Linked DNA regions of Nothobranchius furzeri. The protein of the gene in region 1 binds, or shares a complex with, the protein of each later gene. Links are inferred from orthologs where the notes say so. Each region holds a gene or a part of one and is shown in the gene's direction. Other genes may lie near its edges. The genes, in order: timm23a, timm17a, timm17b, timm21 and timm50.

Region 1 (4,037 bases):
GAATTTAAAAGTAAATGCTATATAATGAGCACACAGCGTGAGTGAATTTTAGAATCACTTTTAGAATAAATTTTTTAAAATATTTTTTACACGACTTTATCCGTCACATTATTGTAAGACTTCTGCTGTCACTTTTGCTCATTTTTGGTTTGTGGGATTTTGTTTATGTCCACATTTGTTTTGTTGTGAAATCTAAATATTCCATACTGTTTCATTAATCTTACAGCCCAAATCACATTTTGCAAGCAATGCGCTCTAAATCAGGATCTTATCTGTTTCTCATAAAAGACAAATTCAAACAAGCAGAGCAGCTAAAAAGATTGAACTTACAGTTCCTATAGTTGTCATTAAAGCAAGACTTTTGCTGTCAGCGGCCGAAGAAATGTCCAGGAAAAATCTCTGGATGTGGACCCTAGTGTGTGCAACCCTGATGGATTGTACGGAAGAACCAAACTCAAAAGGGCAGTGTTGATGATCAATGATTGCTAAGAAGGTGAACTGGATTTTACTCATTTTATCACAGTGAGTTACAATTTTTGTTAAATAGGGAATAATTTAAAGACACCAACTTTTTGATGGGTTTTTATTCTACATTGTGTATTTTTATTGCCTTTACCTTATTTTAATTGCAATCACAAAATTAATCAAATTTGCTCCAACAGCATCATGTTTTCAAATGCTACAGCTTGGTCCATAAAACACATTAGACCACATAATGTTTTATGAGGAGTAACAGCTATAATCTTTATAAAAGACAAATCAAATATTTCTAAAGTCTAAATAACATTCCCATCATAAGCTAGAAGGGCATCGGCTTATTTTTGTTGAAGTTTTACTCAGCTATAAAGTTCCCCACACTTTCCCCAGGATTGCTCTGACTCCATGAGCTGTTACGTGAAACAGAATCCATCTTCTGCCTCCTCAAGTCTCTGGGACTGAAATAGAATTGTTGTCTATCAAGCTCTAAAAAGAAGAAGTAGACAATTCAGTGAACAAAACGTATGCATGGGAAGAGCATGGTCCATCTATGTGTAGGCTACAACACTTGCTGGGACAAAGTATGACAAATATAATAAAAATAGTAGTCCAATTTCTAAATTCGGAAATCCAAACTTTCCGCTCCTAAGCCAAAATTATCTGAATTACATTTATTTATAAAGCAAATAAATTTATAAAGCACATCAAGCATGTCGTTAAAATACTTTAATATACTTCTTTAATTGTGTGCGCTAGAACGATTTTAAACCCCTGGAATTATGAGTTTATGTACACTCAAGTGTACTTAATATTTTTTTTAAACTTCTTTTAAGTTTCTGCTTTTTTCTGAAGTGTCGTAAAACTTTGGGTGCAAACGTTTGGTTTTCCTGGATATAAACAATAAGATTTATTATAATAAAAATATATACACATTTAAAGTTTTTATTTTAATTTTTGTATTTTTTGTGAATGCGAGTTTGATTTTGGAGATTTGTTGAAGGTTAAAGTGAGTGCGTTGACGTAATGACAGTCCACGACAGAGCTCGCTTTACGGCAGAGCGTGTTGCTGGAGGTCAGGGTCGTGATGTATAAAATAGCTCACTGCATTTTTTAGCAATAAGACGGTGTAATTACGCTTTAGAAAATTAGCTTTATCAGAATATTGATTTCGGTTTATTTCGCTGATCCTCGTGAAATAGTTCGTCCTGGGTTTGAAGATTGCCACATAACTGCGAAGGCTGCTAAGTTTAGCTCGGTTAGCAGCTACTTTCTAAGGTATAATTGAGCTCTTTGGAACAATTACGGTCATGGACAACAACTCACAGGGTTCAGGGGGCTTGAAAGCGGGCCTCGGGAATCTTTTTGGTGGTGGTGGTGCATCTGAATATTCCAACACAGAGCTCGCCGGTGTCCCATGTAAGTAGCATGTAATACCGATACAATGCTAGCTAGTGTTAGCATCCCCGTAACTTCTTTCTTTTGTTTTAGTGACAGGAATGAGTCCCCTCTCTCCTTACCTCAACGTAGACCCTCGATACCTGGTTCAGGTAAGCTTCTATAGTTAAATTTTGTTCATATTTCATGCTTATTTAAATTTGACTGGTCTCACTAATCTAAATGTTTGTTTTAGGACACAGATGAGTTCATTTTACCCACAGGGGCCAACAAAACGAGAGGAAGATTTGAATTGGCTTTCTTCACCATTGGTGGATCATGCATGACTGGTAAGTATATTTTAAGATTTTAACCCTACTTCATTAAAATATTCATTTTACAACCTGAGATTAGTGTTATTCACAGCGGAGATAATATTTATGTGTTCATCGTGTTCAGTTTATACAAAAACTAAAGTCACTGCAAAATCTGCTGCTTTCATGTAAAGTAGCTCCAACAAAAACAGATCATCTAATGTTGTCCTACTGTGATGTTGGGTTATCACATCATATTCGTGGCTTGACTTGAATTCATGTTCAGCGTCTTGGGCTTCCTGACAGGGTTGCGGAAGGCGCTTTATAAATAAAGCTTTGATTGATTAATTGATTGATTGATTGAATTATTGCCCTGCAGGAGCTGCACTTGGAGCTGTAAACGGTCTGAGGATGGGCCTGAAAGAGACCAGAGACATGGCATGGTCCAAACCTCGTAACGTACAGTAAGTAAACAGAAAAAATAATCACCAGGTAATTTTACCTGCATTTTGCATCGCTTTTCTATAACGTTACTTTTTCTCCACCAGGATTCTTAACATGGTGACCAAGCAGGGGGCTTCGTGGGCCAACTCTCTTGGCTCTGTTGGTAATCAGTGGAAACTTACTCATAACAACACATTTGACCATTTTTATAACTAAATGTTTGTCTGTAGTTTGAGGTTAACAGTTGTGTGAATTGGACACGAGTTCACCTTTTAAACGTTGTGTTTGTTGTATCATTGCAGCCTTGTTGTACAGTGCATTTGGTGTGGTGATTGAGAAGACCAGAGGAGCAGAAGATGACATCAACACAGTGGCTGCTGGCACATTAACAGGGATGCTCTTTAAATCTAGTGGTATGTGTCTTTTGTGTTTGTGTTTTGTCAACCTAAAGCCTGATTCATGCTTCTCCGTCTGCGTCAGTGCGGAGACACGCAACGTGAGCTCCGCAAGGACGGACGGAGTCGAGCTCTCTTCTCTAAACATCCGTCAGTCGAGACAGACAACGCAGGCTTGTGATTGGTCAGGACGCCGCTGTCGTCTACACCGCCGCCATTGCGCCTTCAAAAACATGTGAGCCGAGGATAACTAGCGGCAGACACGGAGCAGCTTGAAGAATACCTCGCGATAAAACTCTAAAAACATGAACGTTTAATTCCCCGTGACTGGAGGAGTGAAAAGATGCTCAGCAAGCGTTTTATTTGTGGACGGAAATGACAGGAAACGTGGGTTTAGAGATGGCGAACGCATCTGGAGGTGGAGGAGAATGAGAGACAAATATGTCCGTGTTAAAAAGTCTCTTATATACAAAAAAACCCCACAATATAAACACACTATCTTGGACCGATACATGACAGGGTACCACTGAACAGCGCTACGCCCTCTGCTGTCCTGCTGGGCAATTGATCTGCAACACTCCAGGAGACGTAGAAGTATGAGAGCAAAACTCTTCCGTCAATCCGTGCGTGTGTGTTCCTTGTGGAGCTGACGGAGAAGCATGAATCAGGCTTTAGACCTAATTTTTTTCTGACCACTTGTTGATTGGATTGAATCAGACTTCCTCTGTAGAAATGTGGAACATTTTATCCATCAGATTGTTGAAATTAGAACATTATAACTTTTATATTAATAGAAAATTACACTTTGGTGTTTTTCTTGTTTACACAGTTACATTTATACATTTTCTCTTACAGGTGGTTGAAAATCCTAGTTTCCCAGCATCTCTCTTTTTTTTTTTTTTTACCTTTCAATACCAAAGCTCTGTTGTTGTGTTAGAACATGCAGAGTTAAGAACAATAATTATGCTAATGCTGAGATTATTTTAGGAAACCATAGGGGTTATTGAATACAATTATGATGAGTTACCCTTGT
Region 2 (4,119 bases), on another chromosome or scaffold:
CTTTCCCCCTTTCTAATAATGGGCTGCATGCCAGCTGTCTGTCTCTTGGCTGTAGCTGCTCCTCTGACCAGCAGCGTCAGTCTCTGATGGAGAAAAACAGGAGAGGGAATGAAAACATTCCGTTAAATGCTTTAACACTAACACACGGGCTTGCAGAAAAATTATGTCAACGTTTAAAAGCAGAAAAGAACTTTAATAGTACCAACTTGCGGTTTATAAGAAGTTTGTATTACAGTTTTTTTAAATGCCTGGAACATTCATTTAACCATTTTTTATGAAACAAAGAACAAAGTGGATTTTTTTCCACAGCTTTACCCTGTCAAATCAGGAAAACTTGAAGGTATTAAAGCTGCTTTAAGAAACTTGGAAAACAAATTAGCTTAAAACATTTTTTCATCCCTTTTTACAATCTTCTAACATAGTATGGCTATAAAATATTATGTAGTAAAAAGGGTGGCTTTTCTGAGGAAAATAGCATATAAAACATTTTTTCAGTTATTTAATCTTTTTTAGTTAAGTACATAACTCCACATGTGTTCATTTGTAGTTTTGATGCCTTCAGTGAGAGTCTACCAACGTACAGTAAATGGTCATGAAAAATAAAGAAAACATATTGAATGAGAAGTTGTATCCAATCTTTTAGCCTGTACTTTACACACACACATATGTGTGTGTGTGTGTGTGTGTGTGTGTATATATATATATATATATATATATATATATATATATATATATATATATATATATATATAGAGAGAGAGAGAGAGAGAGAGAGAGAGAGAGAGGGGGTCATATGAAAATTGTTACATCTATAAAACAACATTGGAGAAAACAGAGCATGAACATGGAGCATGAATGTGACACTGTCAGAAATCTTTCCGTGAATCTTTGTTCCGTTTGGTATAATCCTAAAAGAGAAAAACTGCATTGTTTTTATAAACAATCTTATCTTTACAAAGTATTATTAGTATATAGACCTACATACATGTACATATGCCTAGTCTCACCCAATGGCGTTTAAAAATTATCTTCCGTTTTACAAAAATGTTTGAAACTAATTCTCTTGCAATTAGGCTTTACACATTCATAGGACAACTTAATTTTTATCGATTTCCTTCTATTTAGTATTTGTTTTTCTACTGGTTTGGTATTCCATGTTTGTTTCATTTGTACTTTGTACCTCTTTTTATTTTCGCCCTTATGTGTTTTAATATATATGTCACTACAAGGTTTTGCTTCTCTTTTAATTTAGTGTCTTGAAGGAGCGTGATTAAAGTCCTGTGTTGAAAATTTGTCATTGTTCATTTTTTTTCAATAAAGTTTTTCTTTTTTAAGGAAGAAGTGACGTTACGTTACGTCAGTGGTAACAGCTAAAGAACAAAATGGAGGAATATGCCAGAGAGCCGTGGTAAGTTTCAAAATAACGATAAATGTTACAGTTTACGTTGTTTTAATAAAATTAGCCAATTTTATCTAATTTAAAATGAGCATTGCATTTAGTTTTCATCTTTATATTTATTGTTAAAGCTTGTGGCACATCCCGATACACCTGGAAAAAAAAATACCGGCTGGCCAATTTAGCTCAAATGCTAATTTCTCCTTGAGTTTAATGGGCTTTTGTGCTAGCATCAGAACGGAAAGGCTAAATCACGTTGTTGGTGACCTTGCCGTTTTTCTCGTCCACATGTCATCAAAGTAAATTCAGGAACTGAAGTTACGCTTTGTGAATTATAAGTGTCACAGTTTATATTAATCACTAACAGCATTTATAAAAGTTATCGTCTTCAGATATTGTTAGGCTATTAGACATTGTTGATGTAGCTGTTAGCTCAGTTAGCCACCAGTGTGCTAACCATCCGGATATTACACAACTTGTAATTTAAGACAAAATCGTATGATCAGACATATACATATCAAACGTTCTGAGATACTCCTATTGAGTTATATTAAATATGCCTAACACTGGAACACCTTAGTTGTCTAGCTGGGTCATCTTTATAAAAACAGGTTTAACAAGAGATCATTTAAAATTTGACAAATGCTGTTTTATAGCAAGACATTTTGAGGGTTAAATTAGGTTAATGTTTGAAATCCAAGACAGGGAAAAATGCCTTTTAATCATTTCCAGTGAGAAGAAGTTGGCTTTATATGTCAGCTGTTAGTTTGCTGCTATTGAGTGTTTTAAAACTGTTTATGATGCTGCTTTGTTAATCCACTCATACAATGATCTCTCTCAATAACTGGGATCTTAGTATTGTAACACATGTAATTTGTTCATTTTTGTTCAGACAAAAATGTCAAAAAACATACTTTGACAGGTATGGCAGATTTGTAGAGTTTTTGTAAAGCTGAACATTTCTAAGTGTAGTAAATGAAGTGTAAGAAATGAGCTCAAAATTTCATCAGTCTTCAAATTGTGTGATGAGAGTTGCGTCATTCTTCAGGTGTTATTCTAAACCAAGTCCAGGTTCAAAGACTTGACTGAAAAAATAGTCTGACTGAATCAGACATGAAATTTTTTCAGAAAACTTTATTTTAGAAAAACTGCATGAAATTGGTTCTTGGATGTTAAATATAAATGAGTTGAAGAAAAACTTAGGGGGTTATCGCTCAATTTCTGTCATCTGTTTTCATAAGAGTGGTTACCAGAATTATTCAAACATCACATAAACAGAACAGTTTAAAAGACATAGTTATCAGTGTCTGTGTACTCTGTCACCAGACCTTTTGCTGTGTTTAATAATTCACATTTTGTTCCTCTTTGGTATAAATCAAACTCTTTTAAGCATTTCTATTTGTTGCACCTATCTCTATTTACAGTTCTGGCTGCAGGGCTAGGGATCGCTCATCTCAGTAAACTCTTCCCTAATTACATCTCTTTTTTCCCCCCCATAAAATTGACACAAAAAAGTTTTTTTCTTGAGGCTTCATAGTTTGTTTTAATCTCAATAGTTCTGTGTGTCCCGTATAGTAAATGCTACAGTTCCAATTAAGACTGTGTGTTTATTTGAACTTCAGCTTGGAAGCACACACTTCAAACATCATCCATGACTGTGTTGCATTTTAACACTAAAATAAAGTTTTCTTGAGACTTTTTTTAGATCAGAATTTTGAATTCTGTTTTTTACTTGTAGCCCCTGGAGGATTGTGGATGACTGTGGTGGAGCTTTCACCATGGGAGCTATTGGTGGAGGAATTTTTCAGGCTGTGAAAGGCTTCAGAAATGCACCTTCAGTAAGTTAACCAACAGTGTTTTACAGGGTTCCCTTTTACACACTCACATGAAGACTAGCCTTGACATTTAATGGCTTGGTCAAGGATGCTGGATGGGTCCAAATCCAGGGATAGTATCCTAGTAAGGACCTGGATTACCCGGTCTGTTGGGTTGGGCATCGATTGGAACCGGGACTAACCGTCAGTTTTTTCCAGAATCGTTCAGATTTAAGGCTGCTGACCGGAAGAAGAATCTGTTGTCGATCTCCGTGAAAAAAGCATGATATGCAAATTCTGATCAATGCCTTTCAGAGCCGATCATACCAGCTATCTGTCGGTCCTACTCGCAGCCCGCAGAGACCCTGAGAGCAGCATTGCGTCCCCCCTCCTTAGCCTCACACTGCGCAGGTGCGCAGCGGCTAAAATGTAAACAAACTTGTCTGCAGAACTTTTACTCTGTGATGTAAACTTTAATTCCTGCAGTGAAAAATGCATCGTGGAGGAAGCTCGTAAAAATGTGTTAACATAGTGGATTTAATGAAAATTTTGAAGAACAAACTCCAGGCAGTGTGAGGTGAGTTTGGCTTCCTGCAGAAATAAAAACACGGAGCATCAACAGTCAACTGCAGCCACTCACCAACACTCATCTGTGTGAGCGTGACCGTCGGAAGACTGAGCAAATTACCTAGAGCTAGATCAGCCGTTCTCTGTGGCGGATGACTGACACCGATTTCTAGCCACTAGTCTGTCCTTGATATTTGGGGAAAACAAGGACACATTTTGAGTTTCCTTCATATTTGGAAGGCCTTGTCACTTTTCTGTGGCATAATCAACCTTAAAATGTGGCCTTGAAAGGATGCAGCCTCTGGATTTATGCACAGCCCCATAAATGCAACTAGAGGGCTG
Region 3 (4,188 bases), on another chromosome or scaffold:
CTCTCTCTCTGTCTGGCTTCTCAAACGGTCGCTCTCCTCTTTCATCTCCCAAATCAGCTAAAAACAAATAATAATGCAATTTCTGTGAAAAACATTCCTCGTTTCTTTTTTAAAGACACTTATGCAAAACTGGCGAGTTTAGTTTTTAAACCCACCTTTCATTTTCTTGGCAGCTTTTGTTATCACAGACGAGGGGTCATTTGGGGACAGCCAGGCGACTAGATCCGTCTCAACATTCCAGTAGTAAGGAAGACCACTGAGGGTGGCAGGAAATCAGGAAGAGAAGGCTAATCAGCTTACATACTAAACATGTAAAAGAGACCCAATGACATCGCTTTGTGAATTCACTGGAAAGCTTCATCTGGACTGCAAACACCCAAACACAAGCGCACTGGAGGTAAAACTACCAAAGAACCGTAGATAACCAGTACAGTGTACGTACCAAGCTGGATCAAACACTTTGTACCAGTTTGGAGGAAGATTCTCTGCTCTGGTGGCTTCATAATCTACATTATTGTCATCATAATCTTCGGCAATAATCTCCTCATCTGCACCTGTTATTAAAGGAGAAAATACTGTTACACGACATACGTGTAAAGTCACAGAGAAGGATGCATGGAGCCAGCGTGTTCAAGCCAAATGAGAACCTCGTTCTGTTGGTTTAACGATCCCCCTCTTGGCCAAGCGGGCCAGCAGAGCTGGAGGAAGAGGCATCCTGAAAAACACGAGATGCTGTCACAACAGTCACCTCGAACATCTGTACATGAGGTCAGTGGTTTCATAAATCCACAGCAAAGATACAGAAAATTTACTTGTTTCTCATGTGTTCTGATATTTAAAGTATACAGCCTCAATTATACACAACGGGGTTTATCCCAATAAACAAAACGTCTCTTTACTGCCAAATTACGTACAAAAACGAGTTAATTTATAACAAATAAACATCTGAACAGAAACCTTTCAGATAAAACATTGTAATGAAATATGGAGAACATAAAGCTCCCAACAGCACACGCAGTAAAAGGCGTCGGGCTTTCAATACAATTTGAATAAATGCTGTTCTTACGTTTTCAGTTGAAGTTATGTTCAACATTTGAGTTGTGTTATTTTTAAAGACTTTAACTACAGATGTAGAAACAGTCTGACATTCGTAAAATCTGCATTTATTTGCACGAACAACAAACGTTTACCCGAAGGCTAACCCTGTTAGCAACCGCTGGATGATTAAATCAACAAGCAGACTGCGTAAGTACTTCCATGCCCGGAAGGAACGAAAATCTGAACGTTTACGCTTCAAAACGGGATCCGAACAGGAACAAGTTTACCTGAGATAAAGAAATTCACCCAATAGCAGAGAAAATGATGTTAGCACCGCCAACGCACTAGTAGCGCCGGTCGCACGTGTATGACGTCACAACGTCTAGACGAAAACAAACATGGAGGAATATGTCCGCGAACCTTGGTAAGATTAGTTTGTCTTTAACTGTAAACTAAATACGGCTAACATACATACCAGTGTTGGTTTTTCTAGTGAAACATAAACATGTGAGAGAACAGAGACGCGTTGTGAGTTCTGCTGTCAATCCACGTATATATACGTGCTTACGTTCAATGCAATTCAAAAATACTTTATTAATCCCAGAGGAAATTGATTGCTGTAGTAGCTCAGAATAATAATAATAAACAAGTCATCAAAGAGTTGTTGTATATTACAATGGCTGTTGGCAGGAAGGATCTCCAGTAGCGGTCAGTGTTGCAGCCAAACTGAAGAAGCCTCTGACTGAAGACACTCTTCCGTTGTCGGACAGTCTTGTGAAGAGAACGCTCAGGGTTGTCCATAATTTTCTTGATTCTCTGGAGAATCCTCCTTTGCATTTTCTCCTCCAGCGGTTCCGAAACTGCCGAAACTCTGGCTGAGTCCTTGAAAGGGCTTGGAGTTCCTCCATCTTGTTGGCCAGTGATCTCACATTGCCCGTTATGATCGATGGAAGAGACGGTTTGAATTTCCTCTTTCTCTGTCTCCGTTTTGCTCCCGCTCTGCACCCACGCTTCTTGCGTTTTAGCTCATTTGGGATTTGTGGCTTCAGTTGAGGTATTATTTCAGCCTTTCCAATGTTAATCAGCTGCTCCCGATTGTAAACCAGCTTGTTGCCATGGTTACGCATCATAACAAATGCTCAAAAAGTGTAAAAAGCTAAAAAATAGCAGTAAAAATCCTCCAAGCTTCACAGCACCAGAAACAGAAAAGTAGTGTCCAAAAAAATACCGTTTCTCTTGAGAAACTAGAAGAAAAAATGCCCAAGAAAAGGCAAAACTTACATATAGTCAACAGAGCTACTCCAACATGCAGCCACCCAGAGCAGCGCAGTTCCGTTGACGTCTGTATCCTGATCTGACTGTATATCTTGTATTTTGACGGTGTCTTGTGTGTCCTCCCCTAACCTCCTGCAGCCCCTGGAGGATTGTGGACGACTGTGGAGGAGCTTTCTCCATGGGTGTCATCGGTGGAGGGGTGTTCCAGGCCATCAAGGGCTTCCGAAATGCCCCTGCTGTGAGTTTAAAACAGACTAGTTTGACTTGACTTCTTGGAAGCCTTTATAAACCTGTCTGTAACATTTCAGGGTGTTGGACACAGACTAAGAGGAAGTGCAAAGGCAGTGAGAGTGAGGGCCCCACAGATTGGAGGTTTGACCCGTTGCTGCTCTGCTCCTCACACACCACTGAAGGATTTTGGTCCCTTTCTCTAAACTGAGCTTCAGCACTGACGTGCTTCTTCTACCAGGTAGCTTTGCCGTATGGGGAGGTCTCTTCTCTACGATTGACTGTGGCTTGGTTCGCCTGAGAGGGAAAGAAGACCCGTGGAACTCTATAACAAGTGGTGCGCTGACTGGAGCCATTCTAGCAGCACGCAGTGAGGATAACACTCAACAACCAAACACTAGACAGGAACTCAGTAACTCACCAAATGTTTTGGTTTGCCTCAGGTGGGCCGTTGACCATGATGGGCTCGGCCATGATGGGCGGGGTTTTACTCGCTCTCATAGAAGGTTTTGGCATTCTCCTAACCAGATACACAGCCCAGCAGTTTCAGAACCGTGAGTGCCTTTCCCGTCTCTGTAATATACACCAGGTGCTCAAACTGAACACCTGCAGACATCTTTAAACCACTTTTGGGTTTTAGTTAAGCCATCTGTCGTTTGAAACCGATAACCAGTAGGATACTTGCAGCACGTCCAAGAAAAGCCTGACAAGTTCACTTCTTTCTGCTTGTTGTCTCCAGCCGTTCCCTTTGCAGAGGACCCCAGTCAGCTTCCTCCGAAGGACGGAGGGCCCCCCCCATAGCCAGCAGCAGGGCCCAAAAGGGCTGTTCCAGTAGAGGGTTGAGTCCAGCTGTAGACCAGAGCAGCAATGCCCTTAGGACTTGGCTGTAGAACCTCAGGGTCAGTGTTTAAATGTTTACGTGCGAGAGTTGTCGCTGTCGTCTTTATGCTTAAATATCTAGTTTGAGTTTCACATAAATGCTTTCATTATTCATAATGATTTAAACACGTATGTTTAAAACATGGGGAGAACATGTTTGGTCTCTTCTGGAGTCCGCGTGGAAACACGAGCTCTCAGCGTAAAACCCTCCTGTCTCCACTGTCTGGATGAGCTGATGTCGCTGGCCCGAGACTGCTGGCAGCCACACAGGCGGAGCGTGAATGTGGACAGGGTCGTGTGGAGCTTATTTACCGCAGTGATGCTAATTTTCTTGTTGTCTTAATGTTCTTTGATTTGACTCCAGATTTATTAATGGACCCTTTGTAAAATGGTCTCATACTGCTGAATGGACGAAGGTTCCAGACATCAGCAGCAAGACGTCTGTTATTATTTTGGGACAAACGCTTGTTAGGACCTGTTCAGAATGGCAGCAACACGAGACAAGGACAATGAGAATCCTTGGAAATTCCCTCTTGATTTGAAAAGGCGCCCCCAGCAGTCACAGATAGCCCAGTGAGAGCCCAGATGCACGCTCATTCACAGCCGCGCTTGCATCACGTTTGAGGATCTCGCTAGAAGACTAGGTCTTTCCTGGAAGAGGTTTGCAGGAAGCTCAGCTCTTACTCGAGTTCCCACACGCTGGTCCTCCTGAACATCTCTGCAGCCTTTTAAAGCTGCAGTTTGTTTGTGAAACCTAGTAAAAGACCA
Region 4 (3,136 bases), on another chromosome or scaffold:
TGAATTTCCTCTTTCTCCATCTCCGTTTTGCTCCCGCTCTGCACCCACGCTTCTTGCGTTTTAGCTCATTTGGGATTTGTGGCTTCAGTTGAGGTATTATTTCAGCCTTTCCAATGTTAATCAGCTGCTATCGATTGTAAACCAGCTTGTTGCCATGGTTATGCATCATAACAAATGCTCAAAAAGTGAAAAAAGCTAAAAGAAATAGCAGTAAAAATCCTCCAAGCTTCACAGCACCAGAAACAGAAAAGTAAAGTGTCCAAAAAATACAGTTTTTCTTGAGAAACTATAAGAAAAAATGCCCAAGAAAAGACAAAACTTACATATAGTCAACAGAGCTACTCCAACATGCAGCCACCCAGAGCAGCGCAGTTCCGGAAAAGCCGCCGTTTGAAGCTCAGCTCTGATGTGGCTCACTTCTAGTTCCTGAAAATGGTGCGCCGGTGTTTTCTTTCCCCAGAGTATGACACACGAGATGTTTATTCCTACTAGAGACTACTGCAAATGTATTGATTAAATGAGGAAAGGGAAGAGGAGAATGGGGAACTGCACTTGTAAAGTTACAATAATTAGTACACTTCCTGTAAATTCTTCTCAGAAGTACCAGGATGTGAACGTTTCCTGCATCATGTAGATCGAACTCAGTCCTTCAGTCTATGGCTTTTAAGATTAAGGATATTTCCGTCCTCTGGAAGACAAAAACTGTTACTACAGTCAATGTTAATAAAGCTAAACAAGACCATACTCATTATTACTTCCTGTATGTTCTTTCAAAATAAAACATAGCATAGTTTAGTCCAGATAATGAGAAAGCCAGAACATCTTCTCTTATTCAAACTACTTAACTACTAAAACTCAATAAATATATCTAATGTATCTGTGTTTAACCAGATGGAATCAATGAGCTAAAGCAGGAAATATTAGCAGCTAGCTGAACATTTCAGATCTCTGCTCCATCTAACTTCTACTTACTGAAACAGAAGAGCAAATGTTTTACTTTTTTCTTCACAGAAAACGACTCACAAGGATTTACACAAGAGCCACCATAACAAATGGGGGGAAATGTTCCTGGTATTGCAAGCTTGTTGTTTCGTTTTTGTCCGGTAGGTGGAGGTAGTCCAAGCTGATTTGTTTACTCCTAATAAAGACAACAAAGAAGAAGCTACGCCATATTGGTGCGACCTAAACCAGCTTTGTTTGTGTGACATTAGCCGATTAATGTTCTATAATTAAACGTCACGGTGACATAATTATACACTATAGTAGGCCAGCCGCTGTAGTTTGTACTGCCGTTCACCTCAATGTGGGTTTATTGACAATAATGGCGTATCTTCACCCTTTAAAAGCCTTGTTACACCGAAGTCTGCAACACACAGCGGCAGCGCAAACATGTCAGTTGCGACTGTTAGCTCACGCGCGCAGGACTTTGTCCACAACACCAGGACTGGTCCTTCTCGGGACAGATAGTCCTCTGTCTGCGCTGAGTTGTCTCCGTGTGGCTGTGAGACCGCTCCACTGTTCAGCCAGAAACAGGAGCAGGCCAGAGGACGAGAACAAAGCGGCGGTGTCCAGGTATCAGCGCGCAAGCCCCAAAGCTTCAGCTTCCCAGAAGAGTAAGCTAATGCTAACGCTATGTTGCTATGCAGCACGGTACAAAATGCTGTAGGTTAGGGTTAGTTTATGCCAATTACTGCATGCTGTTGTTTACTAAAGTCTCATTGTGGGTGTCTTCCAGTAAAAGAAGCTGGTAAAGACTTCACCTACCTGATAGTTGTGATCATCGGACTGGGAGTGACAGGTGAGAGTAGCCAGACTGCAGAAACAAACGTGTGATTAGCAGCATATTTAATTTGATCTTACCCGCTGCTGTCAAAATAAATAAAAATGTGTGCGTTTGTGTTTAGGTGGACTGCTGTATGTGGTTTTCCAGGAGCTGTTTTCGTCCAAAAGCCCAAATAAAGTCTACGCAAAAGCTTTTGATAAAGTCAGGTCACACCCAGAGGTGAGAATGACAAATGATTTACTCTTTTGGCTCTTTTCAGTATAAAGTTACATGCACGGTGCTGTTTTTGATTTGAAAGTGCAGGTAATCGGGGCATTTGGCGAGCCAATCAAGTGCTACGGTGAGACCACCCGCAGAGGAAGGAGGCAGCATCTCAGGTACAAACTAAACTAGGCATAAAACTGTGTTTATTTGGGATTATGCTGTTTTTTAATCTGTTTTTGTTTTCGCCTCAGTCATCTGGAGTATCTGAAGGATGGACTGAAGCACTTGAGACTGAAGTTTTACATTGAAGGCTCCGAGCCAGGCCTGAAAGGAACTGTTCATTCAGAGTCGAAGGAGGTGTGTAGGTTTCTGATCTGCTCACACAATATCCATTTTATAATAGCTGGTATCAAATACTAAGAGCTGAGAGGAAAACTGCATCCATTGTCTTTTGATTTGTTGTCTTTGGTTTCTTACTTCAGAACCCAGAAACGGGGAAATATGAATTTCGTTATATATTCGTGGATCTAGATACCTACCCCAAACGGAGCATCATCATAGAGGACAACAGATGAGAACCCCTGCTGTTCACAATCTGCATTATTTAAATAAACAAGGCACTGGTCACTGGATTACAATCTTGTCCTTTTTAATTTGAAACTAATGTGTTAAATGACTCAACAAAGTCCAGTTTGTGTCCCTGCTTTAGACCTTTTGACCCCTCTTTATTGCTGATCTGTCCTAAAGTGTCCTTCAGGGGGGCTTTCTTTTTAAATAAACGCGGACTCTTCTGCTTGACTAAATTAAAAATTTTGGGCATTTCTTTTTGCAACATTTATCTACTTTCAAAAAATAGATCCATCCATCCATTTTCATCCGCTTATCCGGAGTCGGGTCGCGGGGGCAGTAGCCTAAGGCGAGAGGCCCAGACTTCCCTCTCCCCAACCACTTTGGCCAGCTCCTCCGGGGGAATCCCAAGGCGTTCCCTGGCCAGGTGAGAGACATAGTCACTCCACCGTGTCCTGGGTCTACCTTTAGGTCTCCTCCCGGTTGTACGTGCCCGGAAAACCTCACCAGGGAGGCGTCCAGGAGGCATCCTGACCAGATACCCGAGCCACCTCAACTGGCTCCTCTCGATGTGGAGGAGCA
Region 5 (4,270 bases), on another chromosome or scaffold:
AACCTTCAGATTACAGCCTGCTCTACCTCCTGAGTTCTTTCTGTTAAAAGTTGTGACAGCTCAACTTAGGTTGTTATCTGGATGAACAAGAATGTTTCTGGAACGATGTCCCATTAAATAGATGTTTACCCATAATGCATGACAGCACAAACAGCTGATCCCAGCAGTCAGCACGGTGGTGGAGGGCTGATGGTTTGGACTGGTTCCGACCCAACAGGACTCATTAAATCCACCATGAACTCTTCTGGATACCAAAGCCTCTTAGATTCTAATGTGAAACCATCTGTCTGACAGCTGGAGATCATCTCAAACTGGGTCATAAAAGATAATCATGATCCAGAACATGGAAGCAGATCTACAACAGAATCAAGATGTTGGAGAGGTCCAGTCAGTGTCCAGACCCGAACCAGACTTAGGACCTTCAAAGAGCTGAATGTCAGCAACCTTTAAGAAGAATGGAGCAGAACTCCTCCAGAACCATGATGGTGTCAAACAGAAGATGATTCCTGAGTTCCTGAAGGAGGATCTACAAGCTTAGGAGCTTTAGTCTTTGTTCTGATTGTTTTTCTGTATTCAGTCCAACTGTGGAGAACCCACCACAATCACCTGATTGTGATGGTGGTTTCCTTAGGGTTACCAGTCTCAGTCAGATTCAGGCCTCCTGTAATCTCACGTTTCCATGTTAAAATCAGGCCAAAGCTGCAAAGTGATCCTTTAACACAGATGTGACATTCACTAACAAACTGAATCTTTCGTTCGGCTTTTCAGATTAAAAGATGAGAACTGAATCCTTGTAAAAGAACCATTCCGCTTGTCTACTGGTGACGCCCACACCCATACGAATACGTAAACTGCACCACTGGGCGCTGGAGAGAGTAACAGCATTGCCGCCATATTGGATGGGTTCCGCACTTTCCAAACTAAGAGTGGGGAACTATGCCTGTTTTTGGTGCAGCCTACGGTTGCAACCATAAACACAGAGTGGTTGCAACACCTGGCGCACTGTTGAAAACAGACCACGTGGGATTAATATAGACTTTTCTAGCCTTCCTTTTGGGATTTTATATTTTCATTCATTTTGTTTATATTTACATTTTATTTATCATGCCATACCATGCGTCTGACTTAATGAAAAAGCATAATAAAAGGTTTGTTTTAGTAGGTTTATAGTTTCTCCGTAGATATAGTTGCACGGGGGCAAATAATGACCCATCCAAGATGGCGGCTCGCTACCTCACAAACTACCTACAAAGTCCCATTTGACTAGGGCGAATTTGCCACCAACCGTCATGGTGGTTTTGTGTCGCATCCGAAGGTCAGACTCATTTTCACTTCTGATTGGTCTAAATTTACTAAGCACCGCCCTTCTTTTAACCACGTGGACAACTCCGTTTCTGATTGGACAGTGTACTGGTCCGTCAACGCGAGCCAAACCAATCGCAGATCTTTGTCTTTCAGTCTTGCGTCACACGCTCACCGGCTGCTACAATCCAAGATGTCGGCTGTGTTCCCCATGTGTGTCCGAGCGAGTCACGGCCTCCTGAGGCTCAGCAACGGAGCGGTAGGTGCTTCCAGGCTGGCAGCGATGGATATCATCCGGACACTCTCCACAGACGAGCCGTCTGGCGGACCGCGCGGCGCGACGAGCGGACTAGCTCAGGCTATCCTCCAGGAGCGACTCCAGCAGCACCAGAGCCAGGTGAGGTGCGCTCGGTTTTCTGTCCAGCGGCGAAGGCAGTGCAGTTTGTACGTTTAAGTCATGACTCCGCCCTTCCGAGAATCCCCATTATATCAAACCGAAGCTACATCTAGCCACGGACGGCTAAGCGTTACCTGTGCAGGTTTCTCCACGGGAGGGTTTATATTATTGCTCGTTGGTTTTATGTGTTGCTGTAGCTGTGCGTGACCGTAATCGTGGGGTCTGCAGGTAAAATGCTGCGTCCTCTCTCATACTGACTTCAGCCAAGCTTCATTCTGTTAGAAAAATAACAGTCAAGGTGCTTTAGGCTAGAAGGACAGAACAGGACCTTCTTCTCTCCTCTAACTCATGCCAAACATCTCCGGGATGTTAGAGTACCCATCCATCAGTGTTTGAGATCCCATTGCCCTCATAAACGGTGGCTCTGTCAGAAGTTTTATTTATTTTCTGGCTGTATTGTAAAAATACTCACCTGTTCAGGCTTTTATTTTTGTATCATCTGCAAATCTGTGATTTCACCTGGTCAAAGGCGCTAATCCTGGTTGACCCACCAGATTAAGGACAACATTTGTTGAATTAAATCTTTTTGTTTGGTGCTTAATATCATTTTTGGAGGTAACAAGAGGTCCAGCTAACGTGTCTCAGTGCAGCATCACAGCTTTGACTTGTAATCAGACTTCAAGGCAAGGCAGCTTTATTTTTATAGCACATTTCACACACAGAGGCAGTTCAATATGCTTTTCCATTAGCAAGAATAGCAAGAACATTAAAACCAACACGACATGGCATCGGCCGATACCGACATCGATGCCGATATATCACGCATCCCTAATTATGTCACCAAGATTCTAACCTGGGTCTTTATTCCTCCGGAGACAAGTCGATCAATAACCTCCATCCTATCCTTCAGATTTCCAAAGACAAGAACTTCAGTCGTGTCTTTAACTGGAGGAAGTTTGACTGCATCCAGTCATTAACCTGCTCCAAACACTGGCGGTGTGAGTGGAGAGGACCACAGTCACTATGTGATAGAGCTAGGTAGATCTGGGTGTCATCTGCATAACTATGATAGGTAATGTTGTTATTGTATGACCTGGCCCAGGGGGAGCATGTAGAGATTGAAGAGCAGTGGTCCGAGAATTGATCCTTGGGGGGACCCCACGTGTCATGGTGATCTGCTTTGACTTCAAATGAAATATCTATTGTTATTGTTTGTTTTTCCAGGGCCAGCCACCTACAGAAGAAGGTCAGAGCAAGAAGGAAGGAGAGCAAACAGATGACAAGAAACAGAAGGAGAACATGGCCTATGCAAAAAAAATGGTGCTGCGGTTGGCGGGACTCCTAGGCCTTGGCGGAGCGGTCAGCGTTGTCTACATCTTTGGTGAGTAGGGCTGAACGATTTTTCGTTTTTGGACCGAAATCGTGATTTCAAACAGCACGATCACTAGGGATGCACCGATACAATACTGGTATCGGTATCGGTAAAAGTTAACCGATACCAGTAAATGATACCAATGCAGTTGCTTGACTTGACTTGACTTCACTTTAACTTGTCATTTCTGTTCACCTAATATTTTAGTTTTGTAATCACTTATATTACTTTTTATCTACCTTACAGTCTTTTCCTATTGAAAACAGAAGAAAATAAAACCTGTATTCCAATTCATTTAATTTTTTTGTGTGGTAGAAGTATCTGTATCGGTATCGGCGAGTACTCAGATCCAAGTATCGGTATCAGTTTGGAAAAAAGTGGTATCGTTGCATCCCTAACGATCACGTGACCGTCAAAGCTGCGGTTTTTGCGTTTTTGACTGATGTAACATCCGGGGTTTCCCCGTGTGTTATGGTGGCGGCAACAGGCAGCGCGGGGGAGGGGGTGGGGTATACTGTCCAGAGCCGAGCCCAATTCCACAGCTGACTGAGTTGCAGGTTATCTTCCATTTTAGTTTTCCACACACAGCGGGGGCGCAGTTGAGTGGGGAGAGAGAGACTCCTCCCACATCGGCGGGTTCAGGCTCAACGTCACTTTTGAGATACCCGAACCACCGCCACACTACTGACGTTGAGTAACTTTTCTTCTGAACAATGTCATCATCTCCAGAAGACAACTCCGAGTCATGACTGGGATCTACTTCGCTGTTTTCAGCTCCACGTTTGGCCATTCTGCTTATTAAACCTCTTCCTCGAAGTAGCGGAGCAGGAAAAGTGTAATTGCAAATGCTTCTTCTTTTTGTTAAATGGCAGTGGGCAACCAACGCGCATGGAGTGTTAGCGCCCCCTACTGAGGCTGCACACATCTGTTATTTCTGATCGAGACTCCCAGCTGATCACCGTAATTGAACTGAAAATGATCGTGATCACAAAGTGCGATCATATGATTGCCCAGCCCTAGCGTGTTCCCCTGTCCTCCGGGCCACACACACACACACACACACGGGACTGTCTCAGCTGTTATTTTCGTTAAGGAGTGTGCACGTACAGCATGCGCGCCTCGTGCACGAGCCTACTATTGAAGCTGCCGTTAACGCTTTTGGCCTGAGGGGGCGATCGTGAGCATAAAAATTAAAAACT

Evidence for each region.
Region 2: timm23a (region 1) and timm17a share a complex: the UniProt entries of both Homo sapiens proteins name them as parts of the TIM23 complex. The link is inferred for Nothobranchius furzeri from reciprocal best matches to the Homo sapiens genes TIMM23 and TIMM17A.
Region 3: timm23a (region 1) and timm17b share a complex: the UniProt entries of both Homo sapiens proteins name them as parts of the TIM23 complex. The link is inferred for Nothobranchius furzeri from reciprocal best matches to the Homo sapiens genes TIMM23 and TIMM17B.
Region 4: timm23a (region 1) and timm21 share a complex: the UniProt entries of both Homo sapiens proteins name them as parts of the TIM23 complex. The link is inferred for Nothobranchius furzeri from reciprocal best matches to the Homo sapiens genes TIMM23 and TIMM21.
Region 5: timm23a (region 1) and timm50 share a complex: the UniProt entries of both Homo sapiens proteins name them as parts of the TIM23 complex. The link is inferred for Nothobranchius furzeri from reciprocal best matches to the Homo sapiens genes TIMM23 and TIMM50.

What each region holds. Positions count from the first base shown.
Region 1 is NC_091756.1:45,105,829-45,109,865, reverse strand, and holds the start of timm23a (mitochondrial import inner membrane translocase subunit Tim23), read left to right. Parts: upstream 1-1,231; 5' UTR 1,232-1,784; coding exon 1,785-1,893; intron 1,894-1,965; coding exon 1,966-2,024; intron 2,025-2,107; coding exon 2,108-2,201; intron 2,202-2,544; coding exon 2,545-2,629; intron 2,630-2,713; coding exon 2,714-2,772; intron 2,773-2,911; coding exon 2,912-3,022; intron 3,023-4,037. UniProt on the Homo sapiens protein: Essential component of the TIM23 complex, a complex that mediates the translocation of transit peptide-containing proteins across the mitochondrial inner membrane.
Region 2 is NC_091743.1:60,935,301-60,939,419, reverse strand, and holds the start of timm17a (mitochondrial import inner membrane translocase subunit Tim17-A), read left to right. Parts: upstream 1-1,308; 5' UTR 1,309-1,382; coding exon 1,383-1,408; intron 1,409-3,134; coding exon 3,135-3,234; intron 3,235-4,119. UniProt on the Homo sapiens protein: Essential component of the TIM23 complex, a complex that mediates the translocation of transit peptide-containing proteins across the mitochondrial inner membrane.
Region 3 is NC_091755.1:41,960,061-41,964,248, reverse strand, and holds the start of timm17b (mitochondrial import inner membrane translocase subunit Tim17-B), read left to right. Parts: upstream 1-1,378; 5' UTR 1,379-1,436; coding exon 1,437-1,462; intron 1,463-1,887; exon of another isoform or gene 1,888-1,996; intron 1,997-2,451; coding exon 2,452-2,551; intron 2,552-2,621; coding exon 2,622-2,685; intron 2,686-2,782; coding exon 2,783-2,911; intron 2,912-2,984; coding exon 2,985-3,095; intron 3,096-3,280; coding exon 3,281-3,342; 3' UTR 3,343-4,188. Other genes in the region: pqbp1 (polyglutamine-binding protein 1), read right to left, coding at 1-57, 156-256, 443-554, 648-714. UniProt on the Homo sapiens protein: Essential component of the TIM23 complex, a complex that mediates the translocation of transit peptide-containing proteins across the mitochondrial inner membrane.
Region 4 is NC_091747.1:54,073,321-54,076,456, forward strand, and holds timm21 (mitochondrial import inner membrane translocase subunit Tim21), read left to right. Parts: upstream 1-1,132; 5' UTR 1,133-1,321; coding exon 1,322-1,613; intron 1,614-1,735; coding exon 1,736-1,798; intron 1,799-1,904; coding exon 1,905-2,002; intron 2,003-2,086; coding exon 2,087-2,160; intron 2,161-2,238; coding exon 2,239-2,344; intron 2,345-2,469; coding exon 2,470-2,562; 3' UTR 2,563-2,625; downstream 2,626-3,136. UniProt on the Homo sapiens protein: Participates in the translocation of transit peptide-containing proteins across the mitochondrial inner membrane.
Region 5 is NC_091753.1:57,198,077-57,202,346, reverse strand, and holds the start of timm50 (mitochondrial import inner membrane translocase subunit TIM50), read left to right. Parts: upstream 1-1,459; 5' UTR 1,460-1,477; coding exon of another isoform or gene 1,478-1,495; coding exon 1,496-1,699; intron 1,700-2,923; coding exon 2,924-3,080; intron 3,081-4,270. Other genes in the region: clip3 (CAP-Gly domain-containing linker protein 3), read right to left, coding at 1,478-1,515. UniProt on the Homo sapiens protein: Essential component of the TIM23 complex, a complex that mediates the translocation of transit peptide-containing proteins across the mitochondrial inner membrane. Has some phosphatase activity in vitro; however such activity may not be relevant in vivo.